2 linked regions of the Oryctolagus cuniculus genome follow. The protein of the gene in region 1 binds, or shares a complex with, the protein of each later gene. Links are inferred from orthologs where the notes say so. Each region holds a gene or a part of one and is shown in the gene's direction. Other genes may lie near its edges.

Region 1 (8,573 bases):
CCTGCAGCGCCGGCATCCCATATGGGCGCCGGTTCGAGTCCCAGCTGCTCCACTCCTGATCCGGCTCTCTGCTGTGGCCTGGGAAAGCAGTAGAAGACGATCTAAGTACTTGAGCCCCTGTACCTGCTTGGGAGACCTGAAAGAAGCTCCTGGCTTCAGATTGGCCCAACTGCAGCCATTATGGCCATTCAGGGACTAATCCAGTGGACGGAAAATCTCTGTCTCTCCCTCTGTATGTAGCTGTACCTCATAAATAAATAAATAACCTTAAAAAAAAAGAAATTCCCAATTCACTTTGTCCATGTATACAGTCACCCAAATGTCCATATAACACCTTGCATGGAAATAATATTTAAGTGTAAATGAAACTTTTACTAATTCTAATTTTAACCCACACAGTATTCTTTGTGAAAAGAATATCTTATTTTTTAGATTTATTTATTTATTTGAAAGTCAAAGTTACACAGAGAGAGGACAGGCAGAGTGTGTGTGGGGGGGTCTTCCATCCGCTGGTTCACTCCCCAATTGGCTGCAGTGGCTGGAGCTGCACCAATCCAAAGTCAGGAGCCAAGAGCTTGTTCCAGGTCTCCCACGTGGGTGCAGGGGCCCAAGGACTTGGGCCATCTTCTACTGCTTTGCCAGGCCACAGCAGAGAGCTGGATTGGAGGTGGAGCAGCTGGGACTCAAACTGGCTCCCGTATGGGATGCCAGCACTGTAGGCAGCAGCTTTACCCGGTCCGCCACAGCGCTGGCCCCGTGGCAAAAAGATCTTGAGAATTAGCATTTTTTCATTTGTTTTTCCTTTCTAGGAATATGGAGAGGAAAACCATTGTGGTGCAAGTGTCAACAACAGTCTTTTAGAAGTAGCTCCTCAAACCTTTACTTCTTAGTGGCACTGAGATAGTGTGGGGTGGAGACAGGAGTGGTAGAAAGCGACATTCAGTTTCTGGTGAGTCATATTTTGAAAATTGTGCTCGGCCTGAAGAGACCATTAAACTAAGCACATATGGACAAAAGAAGCTAACACTGACTGAGTGGTTATTGCACACAATAACCACTTTTATTTCATCTTTTTAATGTATAAGGATCATGCCCATATTACAGATGAGGAAACATAGCAAAGAAAGTTTGGAGAACTTGACCAAGATCACAAGCCTGAAAATGGCTCAGATATAAACAAAGGCATTCAAATTGCAGATCAGTCACACTCTCATCCTGTGCATTTGTGCACCTAGAATGCTGGGATAGCCTGCAGAGGGAGACAAATCTTTGGCCTGAAGCTTGCTCCAAACCTGCTGGGCTAGCAAGGATTCCTGGGCAGAAGAAAATGTGCATTTCTCTTCTCTTTCATCAGCTTCCTTTTATACTGAACATGAACTTATTTGAGTGGCAGGGAGAGACAGACAGACGACAATTTACTTCCTAAATGCCCAGCAGCAGGGAACTCAATCCAGGTCTCCTGTGCAGGTGCCAAGAACCCAACTATTAGAGACCTTGCTGCCTCCCAGAGCCTGGATCAGCAGGAAGCTGGAATCAGGAGTGGAGCCAGGGCTCAAATCCAGCACCCCATTATGGGACATAGGAGTCCCAACTGGCACCTTAACCTCTGTGTCAAACACTGGTGCCTGTGCTTTTGTTTGAAATTCAACTAAAAGGAGCTGTGGCGTAGCGGGTTAACACCCTGGCCTGAAGCACTGGCATCCCATATGGCCGCTGGTTCGAGACCCGGCCGCTCCACTTCTGATCCAGCTCTCCTGTGGCTTGGGAAAGCAGTGGAAAATGCCCAAGTCCTTGTGCCCCTGCACCAGAAGATCCTGCCTCCTGGCTTTAGATTGGCACAGCTCTGGCCATTGCAGCCATCTGGGGAGTGAACCATTGGATGGAAGACCTCTCTCTTTGGCTCTACCTCTCTATGTAACTCTGTCTTTCAAATAAATAAAAATAAATCTTAAAAAAAATTCAACTGAAGGGACACAGCATAAGCTGCTGTGAGTGGCTTGGGTCAAAACATTTGTTCAAATGTTTATAGGTAAGCATTTTGGCTCCTCTGAAAGAGAATTTTATGCTTCATCCTACTGGGTAAAGGTTTCTGGGCAGGGCGACAGTACAAGGTGGGAAATTATAACTAAATGCCCGTTCAGTGGCACACTCTCATTTAAGATCGCAGTCACTCAGTGCAGTCACTGATGTTACCCTCAGCAAGAACTAGGGCTCAGAGCGCTTGGTCTCTCTCAGCTTCTTAGGCAACCTGCTTAAGCAGAGTTGGAATTCAAGTCCCACTCCGTGAATGTAAAGGCTGAGTTCTCTTCTTCTAACCTGCGCACAAGTCAAAGATCTGTTTTCATCCCTAAAGAGATTAATTCTTACCTTAGGCCTCTGAACTACATCCGAGGTAAGGCAACGAACAGAGGAAGACTTTACTCCTTTCCCTCTGCATTTTAGGACTGACACTGACGTGGCTCATTTTCACGGCATCTTCCCTATCTATTGAGATTTCTTTTAGCAGGGAGTTTTCATATATTTTGTTTTTATCGTGAACTACACTGAATTCATTTGTATCACACTCATCTGTCATCTTAAAAGAAAGCATTTCACGCAGTAGAGGGCCTTCGGCGGTTAAAGGCATTTTCAAATTATCTATTTCCCTTCTCAGCTGTCAGGCGGCTTCACAAACACTGGCAGCAGACCAGGACTCATTTATTGGAAGGGTCCTCATGCTCCCTCCGGACGAACTTGGCCCATTAGTGCCCTCTCAGATCAACTTGAATCTGTACGCGTGTGCATGAACAAAACACTTAAGAACTCTGCTATGCCTGCAAATGAGGCAGGACGTCACTCACACCTGAAGAGGGGACCATTACACTTCAGCTGAAAAACAAGAACAGCTCGCCATGTTACTTCCCCAAAGTTTCCGTTAGTTCCCAATAACGTGAGCTATTGGATAGTGTCTTGAGGGTATTGCTGTTGGAGAGCACTAGATGCTAGTGCCCTTATATGGAAGTTAAGTGTTTAGTGTTTCCTTACAAGTCGTCCTGTTGGAATTTCTCGTCCGTGTGAACACAGAGCAGCAGCCTGTCTGAAGTATGGCACTAGGGAGGACTCAAGCCTCCTCCAGAGCCGCTGGAGGCCACCTGGGCTGCCAAAACAGCATGGGTGCTTCTAGGGCTCCCCAGTTAATGTAAGGTTTGAGATCAAAGGGGATTAAAACCATCATACATGCTTGAGGAGAGAAAACAAGTTTCAAAATCTCTCCAAAACGAAATCTGGTGACAATGGTCTCTTTTTAACTGGAAAGAGGGGAAAGAGTGCTAGGGAAAAAGAGAAGAATTAGCAGGAGACAGGTCAGCAGTCTCCTAGGACAGGGATAGGATCAGTCACTGGAGTTAGCTCTAGAAACGTGTACGGACTAGGATCCCACTTTTGCCCCGCACATTTGAAGTAAAAGTGGAAAAGACATTAGTGTTCATTTCTACTGTTTCGATTAAAGGACAGTAATGGAAAATATACTCAAACACATTATTTGAAATGAAGCAGTACATTGAGAATCAAGTGTATTTTCCTTCTTCTACTCCACGTAGACATATTAATTTGGAATCCAGATAGGTAAAATGCATCCCTTTCCGTGGAGGGAGATTGAATGATAGCTGTGGGCTCTGGATTTTGAACTCAGGTCTAGCAAGGGTTTACTGTGGGGGGCACTTAGGCGATTGCTGCAATTCACTGGGGTTTTCCCTGCACCTGTGAATCTGGAGGTAATAACAGTGCACACTGTGCCATTCAAGCTGTGGGCTTTTCTCAGTTGTCCTGTCTGTCTGTCCTGAAGGTCCAGTTGAAGAGTGAAGAATCCAAAACATTTGCAATGAAGATTCTCAAGAAGCGCCACATAGTGGACACGAGACAGCAGGAACACATTCGCTCGGAGAAGCAAATCATGCAGGGCGCGCATTCCGACTTCATCGTGAGGTAAAGGCCCTGCCCCTGGAGGCGAATGACCCCAGCGGCCTCCGCCTCTTCGGCTCACTCTTTATTTATTTTATTTTTTTTTTATTTTTTGACAGGCAGAGTGGACAGTGAGAGAGAGAGACAGAGAGAAAGGTCTTCCTTTTCCATTGGTTCACCCTCCAATGGCCGCCACGGTCGGCGTGCTGCGGCCGGCACATCGCGCTGATCCGATGGCAGGAGCCAGGTGCTTCTCCTGGTCTCCCATGGGGTGCAGGGCCCAAGCACCTGGGCCATCCTCCACTGCACTCCCGGGCCACAGCAGAGAGCTGGCCTGGAAGAGGGGCAACCGGGACAGAATCCGGCGCCCCGACCGGGACTAGAACCCGGTGTGCCGGCGCCGCAAGGCGGAGGATTAGCCTAGTCAGCTCACTCTTAACACATTGTGCTCACAGAAAGAAACTTACTTTTCCATCTAATCTGAAAGAAGTTTACTTTAAAAAATGATTGATTCTTTTTTAGGATGTATTTATTTCTTTGAAAGGCAGGCAGAGTCAGAGGAAGAGACAGGAAGTGAGACCTTCCATCCCCTGGATCATGCCCCAGTGGCACTTGCTGACAACAGGATCTAACGTGAATTTAAGTGACCACTTCTTGAATTTCATGTGTCCATAATTGTAAACTTTAATCTACTTTATGTCATTTGCACTGCACATTTATGACGATAAAAATGTTGCTTGAGAGTCCATGCTCAACATACCAGCCAAATCGGAATTGAGAAGGTCATAGGAAGAAGGTCATGTGGATGAACCCGTTTCAAGGGAAAGATCAGCCTCAGTGGTTTATAAATGTTATTCACTAGCCTTTGGGCTAGGTCTCTCTCATTCCGATAAAACTTTCAGCTTGCAAATCAAAGAATATCATCTGGGCACTCAAAAATCTTTATCCTTTTAAAAGACACTAATACTTCTAATACTGGTTTTCTTGTTTGCAATTTACAGACTCTACAGAACATTTAAGGACAGCAAATATTTGTATATGTTGATGGAAGCTTGCCTAGGAGGAGAGCTCTGGACCATTCTCAGGGATAGGTAAGATATTTCAGAAATTTCACAGAGTGTCTCTAAAATGTAATTCCCCATGATGGTCTGTAAGGAGAGCCAATTATTATAAAGCATGAAAATCATATTTATACTTTATGGATGCTTATATTTCTTAATGTGAACAGGGTCACTATCCATGTATAATTTACTATAAAACTCACTTGGTAACTTTTTCCTGAGCCTCTACCTTAATCTTTGGTTTCAAAATTAACCTGTTTTCAGCCATCTATTTTAGCCCTTAGCTGGTCTTAGGAAAACATGAGCCCACTTAGAAGCAGTATTTCATATAAACAATCTCATTTAGATTTACTTTTCTACCCTTCCAGAGAAAGTAAAGTTTGTCTAGATAATGGTGGCTTAATTTTTAATTATGAAAATTCATTGTGTCTCAATTTTTCATCCTATGTTTATATAACTAGAAAATCATCTTTTTAAAGGTTATTCTATAGGAAATTTTAGGAGATTATTATCTATCTTAAGTGTTTACTTTTTAAAGAAAAAGGACATAATTTTATATTCCTGTGGGAAATCTTGTGATTACTTCCTTTGAATGAACCACTGATGATTCCAAAGTCGTGTTTTGAATATTCACCTTTAGACATCTACAGATGTCTTGTTTGTTCCAGCCCTGCCCCCTAGATTCTCCTTTGTTGTGTAACATCTTCCTGAAACCCAGCTGTACATAGCCTTGGTGTTCCCAGAAGCCTTGTAATGCTTGACACTTGTTACTTTGTTGATGTCCCAGAATAGAACAAGTGGCTCTTTATAAAGGATTAATCTAAATGAAATGATGTTACTAATGTTTTTAAGGTACCCTGATATTTTGTACAACATGCCCTTTCTGATCTTTTATTCCCCTGTTTTTAACTTATAAGAGGGAAAATAGGCTTAACAGATAAGTTTATTTTAATGCAGTTTTTTGGGGAAATCCATGCAGTTTTTTCGTAATATGCTTGTTCCATGAACATTCTGAAATCTCTACATATAGGTCAAATGGATTTCTCTTTATGATATTTTATCATATTACATTAATATTTTGTCACATTTAAGATAAAAACATACAAAAGAATGCATCATGTTCACGTTAGAGAGAAGCATTACCATCTGTACTAAATTATTATTTCATAGCACATCATTCTATTATTGTTAGTGGGTATTTGAGTATAGATTATATACCAACCATTCTGATAGAACCTGGAGATTCTGGGATAAGTAAAACAGATGTGGTCCCCTCCTTTGAATTTATAACCTACTACACAAAGTTAATTTACTGATTTGTAAAGTAATAAGTGACATATCCTAATGTGGTTCAGCTTTTTTTAGATTACTACGTTTTTATTTATTTGAAAGGTGAAGAGAGTGAACTGGTTCATTCCCCAAATACCCACAATAGCCAGGGCTGAGCCAGGCGGAAACCAGAAGGCAGGAGCTCAGTCCAGGTCTCTCATGGGTGGCAGTGACCCAGCTAGTTGAGCCATCACCTGCTCCCAGTTAGTGCATTTGCAGGAAGCTGGAAATGGGAACCAAGCCAGGACTTGACCCCATGCATTCCACTATGAGATGCAGGCATTCCAAGTGGCATCTTGTCTACTGTGCCAACTGCCCACCCTGTACTATTTTATTTTTGACCTGACATTTTGTTCCAGTGGTTGATTTGAAATCTCCTTAATACTTTTCTCTGATTAGAATAGGAAGAAATACACAGCAAAATTAAAGATGAAAACTCCAATCAACTACTATTACCTTTCTTAACCAGAAGACAGTAATGATAAAACTCATTCTAAAGTCCACTCATAATGCATTACGTATGCTCACACATTAGTATTCAAGTAATTTTTGGAAGTAAATATTATCTCCTATTTTCCCCATTTAACTTGATTTTATGCTCTGTGTTCCTTAGTGCCAGGCAAGGCTTCTGAGCACCTTCCATTTTGATTTGGCAGGGTAGTAACAGGTGGCTATTTGGAAGCAACTTGCTTTGGGAGCAGCAGATGAAGGGAACATATCAGTGGACGTTGATTTTTCTACCTTGATCCTTCCCTTAGCATTTTTCTCCCTCTTAGCATCCTCAAGTTTGGGATACACCATCGCTGAGTTTCCTCCAAGATACCTAACCCCATAAAGAAGCGTGGTCCGGAGAAGTAGTGGCTACTTGTTTCTTCCTAAAAATTGAGGTGCTGAAGCCCCAACATTAAAAGCAGTGAAACCAGGGTGGGTGTGTGGTGCAGCAGTTACGATGCAGCCTGGGATGCCTCCATCCCACCTCAGGGTTTCTGGGGTTCAAGCCTGATTCACTCCTGATTCCAACTTTGTTTTAATGCCTACAAAGGGAGGCAGGAGGTGATGGGTTAAGTACTTGTGGGAGACCCAAATGAGGTTCCTGGCTCCTCTCTTTGGCCTGGTGTAACCCCAATGGTTGCAGCCATTTTGGGAACAAACGGTTAGGAAGTATCTGTCTGCCTTTCAAATAAAATAAACTTAGAAAGAAAGCAATGAAACTATTAGATCCTTGTCCCTTGCCAACTTTATGTATACATGCAGATTTACTGCTTTTATTTTCTGTGATTTTTCTTTTTTCCTCCTCAAGAAATTGTTGGTGGAAAAGCATCATTTTGGATATCCAGGCTCCAATTACTATTGCCACTGACTAGTTTTCTGTTTGTTTCAATTAGAGCTAAAAAAATCTTCAAAACTGTTAGAAGCGAACTGAAAAAATGCCAAGGGAAGGATAATGTTATTATGCTTAATTATAGTGTAAATGAACATGTGTACAGTAAAAAATTATTCAGTTTTCCTTTTGTGCCTGAGTAGCAAGGCAGTGTAGGAGAAGCTGTTCTGAAAGCACACAGGAAATGTGTTGGGATTTATTTGGAGAAGGCTTGTGTGGCTTTCTTCTTGACTGACATGGAAATACCTCTGAGCCTTAGAGACTTAGCACGGGAAGTCCCTGAGAGCAGCTCAGGCCTGCCCCTCCTGTCGCCTTTGGGCTGGGACCATCACTCCCTGCCTCTCTCTTTGCTCACCGGCATGGGAAGGGAACCCAAGGCAGCCCTCGATTCGTTGTCAGGAAGTACGAATTAAAAAGAGAGCAGCTTTATAAAAACATAATTTGAAAATGATTAAACATTTTCCTGTCTTTAAGCCATGACCTAAAGCATCAGCATAGTTGTCCTTTTTTCTCTGATTTATTCCTTATTAGCTGTCATGTTTTATATTCCAGCTTGTGACTTCTGTCTTCCAAAAGCCCTGGCCCTTTATTTGGGATAAGTTGGTAACATTGTAAGAGTATATATGAATGTGTGTGTATATGTATCTGTTGTAATTCATTTTTCCTCCCTAACTTGTGAAAAATTGCCAACCCCTTAAACTTTCTTAAAACCATGTGTTTAATATAATAATTATACATTAGCATTTATATTAATGCATAATATATAACATTATCACTTGCACACATACTAGTATTCAATAAAATTTTAATCTAGTGAGACTAATCTAGTGAAATTTAACATTTCAATCATTTATCAGAATTTA
Region 2 (9,097 bases), on another chromosome or scaffold:
GCTCCCTGCTGATGCGCCCGGGTGAGGCAGGGCAGGATAGCTGGGGTGCTAGGGCCCCTGCACCCACGTGGGAGACCCGGATGGAGCGTTGGGCTCCTGGCTTCAGCCTTGGTCCAGCTCAGAGACAGCCATTTGGGGAATGAGCCGGCAGATGGAAGTCTCTCTATCATTCTGCCTCTTAAAAAAATTTTTTTTTTAAGCTGGTAGTGCAGGGTTTTGAGAACTCCAGAAACAGCACCAAGCAGGGGGAGCGGCTTGGCCTCTTAGGAGTTTCTCCCTGGGAGATTAACAGATTATCTGTGCTTCGTGCAAACCCGGGTATGGAGGGAGCAGCCCTGGAACAAGCCATTAGGGATGACAGGCCAGGAGGCAGGTGCAGAATGGGGAGGGGCGGGGGCGGGGTCCAGTCTCTCCCCAGGATCCTCAGGTCGAGGTGGGCTTGGGTATCTTTTCTGAGCATCAGGATTCAGGGGGTCCTCTCAGGGTTCGGGGGAGGGGCGCCCACTTTTCCCCATGGCAGCATCCCAGAGCCGGCATCCCAGGAATCAGACAAACCCACAAAGCGCCACCCCCTCGGGGGACGCCCGGCTGCCCCATCGGGCGGGGGCGCGCCCCAAGCTCCCCTGCCCGCCCCCGTCGTGCCTTGGCCGTGACTTCAGAGCCGGCGCGGATGCTATAAATGGCCAAGCGGCGGCCGGCCCGAGCTCGGGGCCCCGTGAGTCAGCGCTGGCGTCACCGCCGCCCGAGCCCGCCAGGCCCCGCCCCCGGCCCGGCCCGGCCCCGCCCCCGGCCCCGCCCCGGCCCCGGCCCCGCCCCGGCCCGGCCACCAGGGGGCGCCGGCCGCGGGCTGGGCGCAGGCGCGGGTCCTCGCATGCGCAGGAGAGACCTGTGGCGCTGGGCTGGGGCTGCGTGTTCGAATCCCGGCTCCGCCGCCTTCCAGTTTGTGCCGCCTGCACAGTCGGCTGTCACTTCTGTGTGACGCGCAGACGCTCACCTCCCGGGGCTGCTGGGAAGCGTGAGTTAACAGATCCAGGGCACTTAGTATATCCCGAGTGCGCATTTTGAACTCATTTTGTGTATTTCACTGTATCTTGAATCCATCGTGACCCACCATCAACTGGTCCTTGGCACACTGGCTTAACCCAGGGGCTTCCAGCTACTTCCCATCGCCTGGGACATTTAGCAATATCTGTGGATATTTCTGTTTGTCACGACTAAAGGATTAGCCCGCCTGTGATGCCAGCATCCCACAGGGGCGCCAGTTCTAGTCCCGGCTGCTCCTCTTCCCATCCAGCTCTCTGCTGTGGCCTGGGAAAGCAGTGGAAGATGGCTCAAGTCCTTGGGCCCCTGCACCCGCGGGGAGACCTGGAGGAAGCCCCTGGCTCCTGGCACCAGGTTGAGGCAGCTCCAGCCGTTGAGGCCATTTGGGGAGTGAACCAGCATAAGGAAGATCTCTCTCTCTCTGTCTCTCCCTCTCCCTGTCGTAACTAAAAGTCTAAAGGGAGTGCTGACGGGAAAGGCAGCGTTACACAGATTGATCTTCCATGCGCTGGTTCACTGCCCACAGCCACCACCACCGGCACTGGGTGAGGGGACGCCAGGAGCCGGGAGCTCCAGCTGGGTCTCCCAGGGGGTGGGAGGCAGGCACTGAGGCGCCGGGGCCATCGCCTGCTGCTCTCCCGGCTGTGTTAGCAGGGAGCTGGATCAGAAGTGGAGCGGCCGGGACTCAAAACTGTGAGACGTGATGCTGGTGTCGCAAGAAGTACTTTAACCCATTTTGCCACAATCCCAGCACCCAAGGGAAGCTTCTGGACGGCCCGTGGCACCCAGGACAGACAGCCCCCAGCCTCGACTCCCAACAATGCCCAAGTTTGAGAAACCCAACTTTACCCTGGGGCAGCTGGGTGGCCCCGTGCCTCAGTTTCCCCTTCTGTAAAGTGCGTGTAATTACGGCATCCATCTCAGGACTGAGTGGGTAGGACAAGGTCTGATTTCAGGGTGTGGGTTTTGTGCACCTGCGTCCCCATCTCGGAAGCCCCAGTTCCTGTCCCGGCTGCTCCGCTTCCGATCCAGCTCCCTGCGCATGTGCACCCAGGGGGGGGGCAGCAGGTGTGGGCTCAAGTTCTCGGGCACCTGCCACCCCAAGTGGGAGACCTGGGTGGAGCTCCAGGCTCCTGGCTTTGGCCTGGCCCAGCCCTGGCTGTTGTGGGCATCTGGGGAGTGAACCAACCAATGGAAGATACCTCTGACTGTCTGTCTGTCTGTCTCTTCCTCTCCCCTGCCCCGCCCCCATCACCCTGTCTTTCGAATCAATAAGTATTTTTTAGAAGAGGGTCTGATGGCCCATGTGGGAGACCCGGATGGAGCTCCTGGCTCCTGGCTTCACATCTGCGAAGCTCCAGCCATTGTGGCCATCTTGGGAGTGAACTGGCGGATGGAAGACCTCTCTCTCTCTCTCTCTCTCTCTCTCTCTCTCTCTTTCTGCCTCTCTGTAACTTCGCCTTTCAAATAAAATAAATAAATCTTTGGAAAAAAAAATAAAAGCTCCTGTGTTCCGTGTCCCCAGGTACCAAGACCAGAGCCTGGCACACAACAGGTGCGCGTGATGCTTGTGGTGTGGACTTGGGGGCGGGGGCTGTGGCCTTGGCATGTCAGGAGCGTGTGGCAGGTTGTTGACGTCCAGCTGCCCCTGGCATGGCCTTGGCGTGGGGGGTGCGGTGTGGGTGCAGCGTTACCCCCGTGGTACAAGATGAGACTCGGGGACAGCGCTCCGCGGGGGCGCTTGTGGCCAGGGACCTGCTAATAGAAACACTCGGTGGCTCAGGTGAGCACAGGTGCATGGAGGGGGCAAGAGCCAAGATGTCTGCTCCCCCAGGTCCTTAGGAGGAGCCGGACCTGGGCTGCTGGACCTGCTACAGAGTAATGCTCCTGCCTGAGCCACTGCCCGTGCCGGGCGCTGCGCTGGGGACACTGCAGGGACACCGTGCCGCCTGCTTTTCACAACACCCCCCATGAACCCATTTCACAGACACAGCAGTGGAGGCCCGAGAGGTCAAAGGATTTGACTGAGGCACGACTGTTGGTGTCTGAAATGAGGGGGCTGCTTGCTATGTCAGCATGGGTGGCGGTCTTGCCTCAAGCCCCAAAGATGACCTCGGATACAGAGACTTGGAGACCGGGCCCCAGGGCAGGTGTGGGGGGGTGCAGTGGGGGCAGCGGTGGAGGAAAGCTGGTCTCTCTGGCCAGGACCCCCCCACACACACACCCGGAATAACGCAGGCTGCCCCTCGAGGTGGAAACAATGACATAGTCAGCTCCCAATACCAAGCCCCTGACATCACGAGGGAGGGGGGTGGCCGCGGCGGGGGGGGGGGGGAGGCGCCCCGCCCCGCCCCCTTGCCAGCCCCTGCGGCCAATGGGACGGCCTTGGAAGAGACCCGGGCCGCCTCCGGAGCTTCAAAAACCTGTGAGGAGCGGAGAGGGTGCAGACGGAGCCTCAGCTGCCGCCGCCCCCGCTCCTCGGCGTCCAGGCTGCGCCCAGCCAGAGCCCACCCGCTGCCATGTCCTCTGCTCACTTCAACCGAGGGCCCGCCTACGGGCTGTCGGCCGAGGTCAAGAACAAGGTAGGGCTGCAGGGCCTCCCTGGCCTGGCCCACGTGCCCTGCGTCCCCCCACCCCCCCGCCTGCCCCATGTGATCCGGAACCTGAGAGGGGAAGGGGCAGAGGCTTGGGGTAGGGGTGGGGGCTGCCTCTCTCCTCCTTGTCAGCACCCCAGAACCCTCAGCTGTTATCAGGAGGAGCACAGCGGGGGGCCCACAGTCACCCCGAAACAGAGGTGTGCGTCCCACCGTGGATGGGAGGCCTGTGTGAAACCTGGGTGCCCCGATGGGGTTGGAAGGGGGAGGCCTGTTGATTTTTCCACACCCCCCCCCAGTTGGACCAAGAAATTGGGGAGCACTGGAGAGGCCAGGCTCCCAGCGAGGCCACCTGAGGGGAGAGGGACACGGCTGGGGGTGGGGGGCGGAGGGCGGAGGGCTCCCAAGTGCAGAGGTGAGAACACGCTGTGATGCCACCACTGTCATGCTAGGGATGGGTACACGGAGCCTCTGAGGATGAACAAACAGCTAGCGGCCAAGGTCGGGCAGGTGCACTGCTAGAGCCGGAGTCTCCAGGGCAGAGACCCCGAATTCCCCACCCCGCTGCAATCGTCCCCGCCCCCCAGCCCCATTTCACAGAGAGGAACACTGAGGGTCAGGGTGGCTCTTCCCCAGGGTCCCGCAGCGAGGAACCCGGGAGCTGGGATTGGTACCTAGGTCGGTGGGTCTCGTTGGGGCTGGCGGAGGGGGCGGATGCTTGGGCTGCAGACAGATCCCAGCGCCACCCCCCTCCTCCCCCCCTCCCAGTGCCGGCCCCAGAGCCTCGCGGAGCCGCCAAGCCATATAAGGCGGCCTTGGGAGTCCGGCCACGCTATATAAGGGCCGGTTTGCTTTATAAAGCTGGGCTGGTGGGGAGGGGGGCGGCAGGGCCGGGGCCAGGTGAGGGGGCCGCTCCCTCCCCCGGCTCCCCGTCCAGCCTGGAGAAGGGGCAGCTGGATGCCCCCTGTCCCCAGAGCAGAACGTTCTGGATAAACGGGAGGTGGAGACAGAGATGCCGGGAGCTGGAGGCTCGGATGGAGGGGCGGGCGGGGCGCGGGATGAGACGGGGACAGGGATGCAGGGGCACCGGCTGGCACCCAGACCTGCCCCACCCTCAGGGGATGCCAGGAAGCTGGAGTTAAGGCGGGAGAGGGGGGCCTACAGGGACAGAGATGCTGGAGCCCCACCCCCAGCGTGATGGAGACGGGGGGGGGGGTGGGGGGGAGACTGACGCAGCTGGGGGAGAGAGAGCCAGCCAGACGGACGGACAGACTGACGGATGCCCAGTGGGTCAACAGCCAAAGGCAAGAAGATGCCCCCACCCCCCTCGCCCGGGACGCAGTCCCAGGGGCCAGGATCTTGGTGGGGGTGGTGGGGGACAGTGAGAGACAGCCAGCCAGAGATGTAAGACAGAGCAGTCCCCTGTCAACCGGCGGCACCAGGCACCTCCCGCGCTCCCCTCCTCCCCATCCGTCTGCTGTGCCCCCTCTTCCCACCAGGGGGAGCGAAAAGGGGCAGGGCCAGGGGAAAGCTAAACCCCAAGTTTGGCCTGGAGGGGGAACCAGGAGGCCAGGCGCCGCCTCCTCGCCCCCCCTCCAACCCAGCTCCGAGGACCTGGCTCTGGGCGCCTGCCCCCTTTTGTCTCTCCTCCGGTGCCAAACCTCAGAATGCCCGGAATGGCCCCCTGGGCAGGTGCCACCCCAGCCCACCCGCCCCCCTCCCTGGGCGTGGGGGCAGAATCGCCTTAGTTGGTCAGGAAAAGCCGGGGCTGAGGGAGGCTTGGGTTGGACACCCAGAGCCAAGGCCTCCACTCCCCCCGCCGCCCGCCCTGTGTCCCCCACCCCCAGCTGGCCCAGAAGTACGACCACCAGCGGGAGCAGGAGCTGCGGGAGTGGATCGAGGGCGTGACGGGCCGCCGCATCGGGAACAACTTCATGGACGGCCTCAAAGACGGCATCATCCTCTGCGAGTGAGTGGGGGGCCCTCGTGGCCCAGCCCCTGCCTGCCTTGTGCTGTCCCCAACCCTCCACAAGTGACTGCGCCTGGAGCTGAGCCAGTCGCTTTCTATCCAGTGTGAGAGCGTTCTTCGGGGAGTCGAAGGATCATTGTGCCCGTTTAACAGGCCAGGCAGACTGAGGCTGGGTCAGCTGACACATTGCCTCGCTATTCCAGTGGGAACAGCTGCAGACTTAGCCGCTGTGCTGCCTGGGGCCTATCCCCCCGACGGCCTCCAGAGACCCAAGAAAGGGAGGTCACCGCGAAAACGCGCGGGGTCACCAGTGGGCCCTCATGACTTTGCGGCTCCCCTGAGCCCAGCCAGGCCCGATCTGCACAGGGCAGGGTGACCATGAGGGCCAGAGCGTGTCCTTGGGAAGCTTACGGAAGGCAGGGGCTGTGCGTCTTGGTCCGTCCCCGTTCACCGGGAATGAGGACCAAGGAGGACACATTGGTGACTTGGGCCTGGGGGGCTGTGCAGGTCTCAGACACACAGCCCCCGCCCCTAAGTCCACACCACAAGCATCAAGCATCACGCGCACCTGTTGTGTGCCAGGCTCTGGTCTTGGTACCTGGGGACACTGAACACAGGAGCTTTTTTTTTTTTTTTTCAAAGATTTATTTATTTTATTTCAAAGGCGAAGTTACAGAGAGGCAGAGAGAGAGAGAGAGGGAGAGAGAGGTCTTCCATCCGCCAGTTCACTCCCAAGATGGCCACAATGGCTAGAGCTGAGCAGATCTGAAGCCAGGAACCAGGAGCTCCATCCAGGTCTCCCACGTGGGTGCAGGGGCCCAAGCACTTGGGCCATCTTCTGCTGCTTTCCTAGGCCACAGCAGAGAGCGGGACCAGAAGTGGAGCAGCCGGGATTCAAACAGGCTCCCACAGGGGATGCGGGCACTACAAGTTTTACAAGTCCCTGCAGGGAGCTTTTGTGGTGTGGCGGGGGTGGGGGGTGGGGGGTGGTGGGTGTGAGGTGTCAATTGACTGATCAAACTCACACACCTGCCTGAAGTGGTACCTGCTGTGGGGAAGGTGGGGGGAGGGGGACAGTAAACAAGCCTGGGAGGAGGTGCCAGGGGAGAGGCTCGGACTGCAGGGACATCCTGGGCACTCGGGCGCCTCAGTGGCCTTTCACAGGTTGGACGAGATCAAGAAGGGATGAGTGTGGTCAGAGGAGAGGCCCTTCGGGGCTCCCTGCTGTGTCCACACCACTACAAGGACCCTGGGACATGGCAGCCCCCGCCAGCGGACTGGGATGTACTGCGATAAGGAGACGTAGTCTAGCGCCCTCTACAGGCCGCGGCTGGTTCCCCATGTTTCCTATGTGGGGGTGCATAGGGTAACTTGCGGCAGGGGTGGGGGCCCTGAGAGCTACGAAGGCGACTGCCAGCTTGAGCCCCTTCCGTGCTGGACTGGCCATGGGTGTGGACGCTGGGGGCCGCCGCTCACTCCCCTCCCCCGTCCCCAGGTTCATCAACAAACTCCAGCCAGGCTCCGTGAAGAAGGTGAACGAGTCGACCCAAAACTGGCACCAGGTGGGCCCCTCCTCCGCCCCTTCCGCGTCCCAGCCCCCGCCCCCGCCCCCGCCCCGCTGACCACCGCCCCCCTCCTCGCTCCCCAGCTGGAAAACATTGGCAACTTCATCAAGGCCATTACCAAGTACGGGGTGAAGCCCCACGACATCTTCGAGGCCAACGACCTGTTCGAGAACACCAACCACACCCAGGTGCAGTCCACTCTGCTGGCCCTGGCCAGCATGGTGAGTGTCGGTGCCGGGTGGACGCCCGCTGAGCCCAGTGTGGGTGTGGGGGAGACAGCGGGTGCAGCCTGGGGACCTCCCGGCCCTGCGCCTGCCCCTCTCGCCCCAGGCCAAGACGAAAGGAAACAAGGTGAACGTGGGGGTCAAGTACGCGGAGAAGCAGGAGCGCAAGTTCGAGCCAGAGAAGCTTCGGGAAGGGCGGAACATCATCGGGCTGCAGGTACAGCCGCTGCCTCCCGGTCCTGCTGCCGGCGGCGCTCTCCGGGGGGCCGGCGTCTGGCGTGGTGGTGAAGATGCCCACTGGGGTGCCCGGAGGGCCTGGGTTCGAGTCCCCTGCTCTGCCCCTGACCCCAGCTTCCTGCCAGTGCGCATCCTGGGAGGCACTGGGGGATGGCTCAAGTGCTCAAGTCCCTCCCTGCCGCCCACCTGGGAGGCCCGGAGTGGGTACCTGGGTCCCGGCTTCTGCCTGTTGCAAGCATTTTATTTATTTATTTATTTTTTCAAATTAATTTATTTGAAAGGCAGAGTGACGTGGGAGAGGGCAAGGGCGAGGTCCTCCACCTGCTGGTTCACTCCCCCAAAATGCCCTCAAGGGCCGGGGCTGGGCCAGGCTGCATCCGGGTCTCCCGCATGGGTGGCAGGGGCCCCAGCACTGCTGCTTTGCTCCCAGGCGCATCGGTGGGGAGCTGGATCAGAGGGGCAGGCGGCACCTTCACCCCGCTGCACCACAAGGCTGGCCCCCGTGGCAGGCATCGCGCGTGGTGGTGATTGGGGGGGGACAGGGGTGGGATGAACCAGCAGAGGGGAGATCTCTCTCTCTCTCTCTGCTTCTCAAATAAAATTTAAAGAATTAATCTCGGGGCTGGGCCCTGTGCCTTTGGTCCTCACCTCCTGGCCTCGCAGATGGGCACCAACAAGTTCGCCAGCCAGCAGGGCATGACGGCCTATGGCACCCGGCGCCACCTCTACGACCCCAAGCTGGGCACGGACCAGCCCCTGGACCAGGCCACCATCAGCCTGCAGATGGGCACCAACAAGGGAGCCAGCCAGGTGGGTGGAGGGCCGCAAGGGCGCCTCCCGCCGCCCCCCGCCCCCGCGGCCTGAGCGCGCCCCGCCCTGTCGCCCCGCAGGCCGGCATGACGGCCCCCGGCACCAAGCGGCAGATCTTCGAGCCGGCGCTGGGCATGGAGCACTGTGACACGCTCAACGTAAGCCTGCAGATGGGGAGCAACAAGGGCGCGTCGCAGCGCGGCATGACGGTGTACGGGCTGCCCCGCCAGGTCTACGACCCCAAGTACTGCCTGACGCCCGAGTACCCCGAGCTCGAGCCCGCCCACAACCACCACCCCCACAACTACTACAACTCTGCCTAGGGCCTCCCCGGCCCGCCGCGCCCCCGCTGCTCGAGGCTGGACCCAGCCGGGCCCCGCCCGCCCCTTCTCCCCGCATGGCGTCCTCCAAGCCCCTGGCACCTGCCTACAGGGTTAGCGTTGGGGGACAGCAGACTTGGGGGGGTGGGGGGAGGAGATCTGTGGGAGTGGGGGGGAGAGGGGCTGCAGGCTTTGTCGCCAAGCTGGGTGTCCCCCAATAGCAAAGCTGTTCCAGCTGTCCCCCGACTCCCTCACAAGTGGGTACCCCCACCCCCGCCCCCAGCGGCTCACCCCAGCGAAGCCCTCCGCGCCCCGGAGCCCAGGCTCGGCCCGCCCC

Evidence for each region.
Region 2: PRKG1 (region 1) and CNN1 share a complex: the UniProt entries of both Homo sapiens proteins name them as parts of the cGMP kinase signaling complex. The link is inferred for Oryctolagus cuniculus from reciprocal best matches to the Homo sapiens genes PRKG1 and CNN1.

What each region holds. Positions count from the first base shown.
Region 1 is NC_091446.1:45,311,368-45,319,940, forward strand, and holds part of PRKG1 (cGMP-dependent protein kinase 1), read left to right. Parts: intron 1-3,823; coding exon 3,824-3,963; intron 3,964-4,940; coding exon 4,941-5,030; intron 5,031-8,573. UniProt on the Homo sapiens protein: Serine/threonine protein kinase that acts as a key mediator of the nitric oxide (NO)/cGMP signaling pathway. GMP binding activates PRKG1, which phosphorylates serines and threonines on many cellular proteins.
Region 2 is NC_091447.1:66,346,853-66,355,949, reverse strand, and holds the start of CNN1 (calponin-1), read left to right. Parts: upstream 1-3,465; 5' UTR 3,466-3,560; coding exon 3,561-3,623; intron 3,624-5,482; coding exon 5,483-5,604; intron 5,605-7,099; coding exon 7,100-7,166; intron 7,167-7,252; coding exon 7,253-7,390; intron 7,391-7,499; coding exon 7,500-7,610; intron 7,611-8,293; coding exon 8,294-8,440; intron 8,441-8,520; coding exon 8,521-8,763; 3' UTR 8,764-9,097. UniProt on the Homo sapiens protein: Thin filament-associated protein that is implicated in the regulation and modulation of smooth muscle contraction. It is capable of binding to actin, calmodulin and tropomyosin. The interaction of calponin with actin inhibits the actomyosin Mg-ATPase activity.